Coturnix japonica: one gene and its partner. The protein of the gene in region 1 purifies or fractionates together with the protein of each later gene. This does not show direct contact. Links are inferred from orthologs where the notes say so. Each region holds a gene or a part of one and is shown in the gene's direction. Other genes may lie near its edges.

What was found. The genes of interacting proteins can lie anywhere in the genome.
Region 2: the proteins of UBE3A (region 1) and PSMA7 purify together in Homo sapiens (affinity purification with mass spectrometry, with the first as the bait; 3 studies listed by BioGRID). This does not show direct contact. The link is inferred for Coturnix japonica from reciprocal best matches to the Homo sapiens genes UBE3A and PSMA7.

What each region holds. Positions count from the first base shown.
Region 1 is NC_029516.1:118,887,395-118,891,143, forward strand, and holds the start of UBE3A (ubiquitin-protein ligase E3A), read left to right. Parts: upstream 1-1,199; 5' UTR 1,200-1,235; coding exon 1,236-1,405; intron 1,406-3,749. UniProt on the Homo sapiens protein: E3 ubiquitin-protein ligase which accepts ubiquitin from an E2 ubiquitin-conjugating enzyme in the form of a thioester and transfers it to its substrates.
Region 2 is NC_029535.1:6,913,829-6,917,577, reverse strand, and holds the start of PSMA7 (proteasome subunit alpha type-7), read left to right. Parts: upstream 1-1,624; 5' UTR 1,625-1,781; coding exon 1,782-1,877; intron 1,878-3,244; coding exon 3,245-3,371; intron 3,372-3,749. Other genes in the region: SS18L1 (calcium-responsive transactivator), read right to left, coding at 1,132-1,200.

The sequences.
Region 1 (3,749 bases):
GTGTTTCATCATACCAGTGCTACCCTAGAGCCTTTTAGACATGGAATGCTTTAAATTATTTTCCTCATAGCTGAGTGCAGAGCTGGATTTGCATAAGCTGAATCTTTCTAATCCATAGATGCTAGACTGTTCTTAAAATGAGAGCTAAAGTCCCATGTTATCCGCAGTCACTATGTGCGTGACCATGGTCACTGTTTTAGGGCAGTGTCAAATAGAATTCTTTCACTGAGTTCATTCTGCCATGGAAACCAAACTTACCAAAACTCCAGAAACCTTTCCAGTTGAAAACAGGATTGTGTGATGTTCCCTTTACTGTACTTGGCCTCTTTCTTTGGAGTTGTACAAGGAGAGTATGTGATGATAAGCAGTTGAGTCCCTTCTCTGTAGGTTAGATAAATGTCTCAATGGTCAGTCTTCTAATATCTATATTTTTGTGTGTGAAGTAGTTCCTTGTTGATCAAATTTGCTACTAGAATGCAAGCAGTGGCTCAGAAGGAGGTGATTAGAATCAGCGTCTCAGAAAATACTCTTCTAGTGAGTTGCAGTTGGTAGGGATGTGAAATACTGTTTAAATGTCACACTTTACACATTTAGGCTTTTAAAGTACAACATGGAGTTTAATCTGGTTAACTACATTTGCTTGGAATGTCAGGAGGTTTTTGACAGAGGGAAAACAACACAAAATACACTAAATAATGCATTTTGCTTAATGTTTGATACAGTTTTGTTTTCTTCTGAATATAAGACAGACTGAAGGGTTCCTGTGAGTATGTTTATTGTTTCACTTCTTTCCATTAAAGACTGAATTGATCTTTTCTTGGCCTCGCAGCCAGTACAGAGTATTATTAGTATTTAGGTCTCCTTACTTAATAACTTAAAGTCTGGAGAGCTACTGTTCAATATATCTAGGAGACCCTTATGTTCTCAGGTTCATCTATCTTGAGGAAGTGCTGTGGCTCTTTCAGCACACAATTCCTGAAGACGCATCAGATTCAGTATGTGTAGTGAAGTGGGTGCCCCACACTAAGGTCACAGGCACCCAGCTATTGGGGTTCACTGCCTGAGAGGCACATCATGCTGAAAGGATCAGGGTTGGAAACATGAGCTCCGTGTGTGTTTGCAGGCACACGTTAGCTGTGATGGCTTTGGCTGGAGTGGACAGAAGGTATTATAACATCACTAGAACCAAGGGGTGGTGCTCAGTTCTGGCTCCGGGTGGAACTTTGGGCATTTTGATGTACAGACATGCCCTGTGGGCAGTGCTTTCACTGGAAACCTCTCTTCAAGCATTGCCATTATTACACCTAATTATCCAAAAGAAGGAAAACAACAGGCGAAATTTAAAAGATACTTTCAGAAACCAGCATTCAGATTCACAAAGATGGCTGTCCATAACTACACTTCGGTATGTGAGATGTTTTTGACTGCTTTGGATCTGAAGGTGATCTTATATTTCAAAAGCGTAGTATAATTACTTGGCCTATTAAGTCTCAATTTTCCTCTGTTGAAAACTGTTTGCTTTATTTAGCATTTCTCTGTATTTAGCTTAAGATATCTGAGAAATGCAAAGTAGATGTGTTGTGTTGAAACTTTTGAAGCAGCACATTCAGTTCCTTGTTTTATATGTATTTAGATATCCAGCAGAAGGAACTAGAAAGTGACCTTTATAAGGAGTCTCTGAGGGAACTGTGGCTGTTTAGCTTGAAGAAGAGGCTGAGGGGAGACTCTTTACAGCTGCCTGAGCAGGCTGCAGCAAGGAGGAGGGTGTCAATCTCTTTTTGCAGGGACAAGTGCTAGGATGCAAGGAAACTTATTTGGGTTGTATCCAGTTTATACTGGATATTGGGAAGAAATACTTGGTCAAACATTGGAACAGGCTGCCCAGAGAGATGGTGGAGGCCTCCTTCCTTAGAGGTATTCATGAGACCTGTTGATGTGGCTTATGGACTTATATTGAAGGCCTTTCCCGGTCTAAATTATCCTGTGCTTCAAAATGTTATTTTACCGACATCTCCAGGGAGGTAGAGGTTCAGCAGTACGAGTTTCTTGTGCTACCCTGCAGATTTGGCAGTGTTTCAATTACAAATGATAAGTACTTATCTGGCTTTTTATTAGATAAAAAACAGTTAGAAAAGCCTATAGAGATTCTTTTATTTTTTTTAAGTACGGCATAAGTAAGTCAGTGAATATTAATTTTTAAAATGGAAAATGTGCTTGTGGAATTATTGGGCTTTGGGGAAGTGGAAGTTATGTATATTACAGTAGGCTCTTGCCCTCACCAAAGTATAGTGTCTTGCTTAAGAAGGTTGTACAAGGCCTACTGTGTGGGAAGCTATCCTCAAAGCAGCCTGTAAAATGTGTACAACTGTGCATGTGCAAGTGAGTTTTGAAATCAGATAGGCAACAACGGTATGAGTCTTTACAAACATGCGTGTAACTGAACTGCTTACATAAAAAACAATAATTGATATGAGAAAATATGTAGTGGTTCTGCAGTAGCTTTTTTTTAGTTTTCATTAATGCCATTTCTGTGCTTTTTATCCTCCATCATGATGGATATAGAGTTTCTTCTACGTCAGCTGTTAGAGACAACTCTAATCTTAGTGCTGTGCCTTAGTATTTCAGATATTACCTGATTAAAACATAGTGTTTGATGTAATAAAATACTGTTAATATAATCAGCGTTTATATACTGAAATAGTTAAAGTGTTACATGAGCTATAAAGGTGTGCATGCTTCTTTAGCAGCTTACCCAGCTTGAAAATGTAAGACTTATCTTGCTGGGAATTGGTCATCTTTTGACAGTGTATTTAGCATGAGTAACAATTCTGGCTGCTCTGGGTGAAAACGTATGCCCACATTTAGAGAAGCCTAATGAGAAATAATCCTTATAACGTTCATACGTTTTTACTCAGGTCAGAAAAAACATTGCTGCAAAGAGCTTGTGACCTATGTGTCGACTGCAGTGGAGAAATAAAATGAAAGAAAAATGTGATGTAGAAACTGGAAAGGCTGTAACTCTTATCTTCAGATCAGTATATAGCTATTCTGTTCCCTTGTACAGTAATGGAATTGATGGTGTTGATGGTGCTGCTCTGCTTTTTTATCATCTTCCAACTCTGCCATTGGGCGCCAGGGAGACATTTTATTCTGTACTTGGTCAGGTAGGCATTTGAAGTAATGATTTTCTTCCCTTTTGCTCTTAGAGATCTCATGATTATAAGGAAGGAATAGAGGTGTTACTTTTAAATAACATACACCTACCTCAGTAGTTACTTTAAGAACTTGAGGACACTTCCCCTTCCGAAGCCACTGCATTGAAACTAGTACTTGATCAGCCCATATTAATGGCTAGGCACAGCAAGTGCTGAGTAGTACAAGCAGGTCTGAGGCTTCAGTTCTAATGTACTTGTTCTATGGAGAATCTGCATACATCAATTTCTGGAAAAAGCAACTTTCATTGTGACAGTTTCTGGTTGATGTCTTGCTTCTTATGTTCTAACCTTTAGACATGTAGTGTATCATTAAATTTGAATTCAAGACCTATATATTAGACACCTCCAAAATGTTAAAGATTTTGTTTCTATTTGATACCTTGCCTTCATATCTAACTTTCTTAAAAGAACAGGATTTTTTGTTTGTTTGTTTTGAAAATACAGTGAAATATGGTGTTCTTGGTGCTGCATGTAGCTCTTACTGTCCTAATCAGCAGTAGCTTTCAGGTGTTTTATTTACCAATTGCATGTTTC
Region 2 (3,749 bases), on another chromosome or scaffold:
TTAGTGGGAATCTGTAACGAGCCCAGCATCAGTGCCTGATCTGACCGCTCCATTACACCGAACCAGAACATCCATTCAGTCTGTGCCTGCAAATCCCCAGCTCAGCACCACCAGCTCTGCAAACAGAACCACTGCCAGCAGCCACAGACACCGACTGCCAGCCCCGAAGTCCCACAGCAACAAACGCAGTCACACTCCCCGTGCTCACACGCAGCTCCATCCCTGCTCTGTACCATCCTCCAGCTGTTCTCCCTTGAAGTCATTTATTGGCACCTGAGAATGAGCGGTTTGGCTGTAACACCTCTTGCCGATCCGCTCGTTGCTGGGTTAAACATCAACCCCGCCTCGCTGCCCATCATCACCCGCACCTCGCTGCCACCGCACGGACCGCACGGACAAAACGGCTCCGTGGTGGGGAAGGAGATGACGGGCAGCACAAATGACAGATAGCGCTCAGAGTGAAACATGCACGGACTTTATTGAGTCTCCAGCCGCTTCGTGATACAGTTCCCTTCTGGGAGGGATGGGATGGGGTGAAGGTTCGGCAGGTGCACGCAGCGCCTGTGCCAGCCAACGGGATGGGAAACGAGCACTTCCCAACCGGGAGCCCTGCGGTACCGGAGCTCAGCGCAGAGCAGATCTTCACCACCTTTGTCATTATACACCAATACACACATCACCAGCAGCGGTAACAGCAGGCGAAAAACACCGCTGAGCGCTGCTCCCTCCGGCATCCAAACACAAAACCCTTCCCAATGCCATATCGGATTTTATTTCACCGTCCCCAAACACCGTCAGTAATCACACATTCAACACGCTATTGCGATTTTCCAACGCGTTATTGTGGCTCTTTTTTCCCACCGGCAGCACCCGGCTCATTCCATCCCGTTCCCTCCGGCTCCGCAGCTCCGCTCATCTCCGCTTTGTTCCACCTCCTCCTTCCCCCACCTCTCTCTGTCTCTCTCTCGCCGTCCATCTCCGCATTCCCGGCCATGCACGACTTTCCCTCTCTGCCTCAATCCGCCTCGTTCCATCATCGGCTGCGGGATCGCGGACGGAATCACGTCCAGCATCGCGTCCACCCCGCGGTACAAAGCATGCCGATATGCCGATATGCCGATATGCCGTTACCTTCTGGATAGTTTGCTGGGTCACCTCCCCTTTGCCTCTCGGCCGAGCAGAAGCAAAGGCAACCGACATGGTGGGCTTTATTTTTTTTTACGTGTCTTTAATGTACGGGTCCCGTGCTCTAATAATATTGTTATTATCTCCTGCTATTGCCGGCCCACGATTCTCCGCAGTGCTGGGGCAGGGGAGGTGCCGCACATGGTACGATCTGAGCCCGGCGCACGGCAACGGGCAGAATAACCCGGACCCGAACACAACCCCCCGCACACGGGGCCGGTCCCGGCGGGTCGGAGCGGGTGGAACCGAGGGATGATTATCGGGATATGAGCAGAACCGGCCGCCCCTTGGCCCGCAGCTCTCCCCGCTGCCCGCACATGGTCCGGCCCTGCCGCCCGGTTTCCTGTCGCAGCCGAGCGCCGTCTCCCTCCCTCCGCCGGCCGCCGCCAGCTGCGCCAACTGCGTAACAACCGCCGCCATCTACTCTTAGCGCAGCTTACGCTCGTTGCGCAACGCCCGCTCCTGGCGTAAGGAGCGGCGGATGGAGCTCGGCGGCTGCAGCGTACGGAGTTGGCGTAGGGTGCGCAATCGGCGTAGTGCGGAAGCGGGCGGGGGATGAGTGTGCTGTTTTGAGGGAGGCGGCGCGGCCGGCAGCCATGAGCTACGACCGGGCCATCACCGTGTTCTCTCCGGACGGGCACCTGTTCCAGGTGGAGTACGCACAGGAGGCGGTGAAGAAGGGATCGACTGCGGTGAGTGAAGGGGAGAACGGAGGCGAGGGGATCCCGAGGGGCTGGGGCGGGAGGGAGAGGACGTGAGGGGAAGGAAGGGCCTGAGCACGGAGCGGTGTGGGGAGAGGAGCTGCTGCTGGTCGGTGGGGCTGAGTGTATGGAGCGAGCACAGAGAGATCGGGATGGAGGGATGGATAGAGATGGATAGAGATGGATAGAGATGGAGGGATCCCCGTGTCCATGTGGCGGCTGCCCGGGCCCGAGCCTTGAGGCCAATGCAGCAGCTCTCGCTCCGGCTGTACAGGCTGGGGGAAGAGCTGCTGAGAGGAACCTGGGCGTCCTGGTGGATGATAGATTGACCATGAGCAGCAGTGCGCCCTTGTAGCCAAAAAAGCCAATGGCATAATGGGGTGCATTAAAAAGAGCGTGTCCAGCAGGTCAAAGGAGGTGATCCCCCCCCCTCTACTCTGCCCTGGTGAGGCCTCATCTGGAATATTGTGTCCAGTTCTGGGCTTCCCAGTACAAAGAAGACAGGGATCTCTTGGAAAGAGTCCAGCGGAGGGCCACTAAGATGGTGAAGGGTCTGGAGCATCTTCCCTATGAGGAGAGACTTAGGGAACAGGGTCTGTTTAGCCTTGAGAAAAGAAGGCTGAGAGGGGACTTGATCCAGGTTTATAAATACCTGAGGTGTGGGAGCCATAGTGGTGAGTCTGGTCTCTTTTCAGTAGTGCGTGGGGACAGGACTAGGGGTAATGGGATGAAAGTACAGCATAGGAAGTTCCGCACGAATGTGCGAAAGAACTTTCCAGTGAGGGTGACGGAGCACTGGAACAGGCTGCACAGGGAGGTGGTGGAGTCTCCTTCTCTGGAGATACTTAAGACCCGCCTGGACGCCGACCTGTGTGACATGGTGTAGGGAGCCTGCTTTGGCAGGGGGGTTGGACTCAGTGATCTCTAGAGCTCCCTTCCAACCCCTACAATTCTGTGACTCTGTGATTCTATTTGGGCCCATATCGCTGTGAGCCGCTGGGCTGAGCCGGCCCGGTACCGCCGGGTGTTGTGGTACCGATGAACCTGCACGGCACAGCAGCCCCGGCACTGCAGTATCACATACAGTAAGGAAACAACCCTGTGTTTGGTGTGGCAGCTTTAAAGTGGCTGCAGAGAAGTGCTGGTGTTGGAGAACATGGTTGGGAGGAGGGATGGGAATGTCTGCGAGGAGTCACACAGATTTCAGCTGGTGAAAACAGGTGATGAAACTGAACTCGGGATCTGAATGTATTTGTTACGTCAGTCCTCACCCGGGTTGTGGCAATAGGAAACAAAGTACTTCAGGTTGAGGTTGATGATGTTTGGGGTTTCTTTCCTTTCCTTTGAACGTGCTGCAGGTTGGGGTCAGAGGGAAGGACATCGTTGTGCTCGGCGTGGAGAAGAAATCTGTGGCAAAGCTTCAGGATGAGAGAACTGTGCGGAAGATCTGCGCCCTGGATGACAACGTCTGCATGGCTTTTGCAGGTACGGGATCCCTTCAGAGCTTGGGGGTTGGTACGGTGGTTAGTTTGCCTTTGGGTGAGGGGATGGATTCAGAGGGTGTGTGTAACTGAGCGAGGACTGTGGGGAAGGAGCATGTTTCCAGTTACTTCCACTTTTACAGATAGGTGTCGATATGTCCATAAGGGAGAAGCAGTGATTGAATGAGGATGAAGTATTGGTTGGAGTTCAGAAGGTCCACTGAGTTTAATGTGAAGACTGGGAAGGAACGTGATTGATGCAGATATAGAAATGTAGCATTTAAAAATAGATGTGAGCTCATATACTAGATATATACAGCAGATATCTCCTGTCTGTAAGCACTGCAGGCTTTGTATCAGAATTAATAATGCTTTAAGTGGA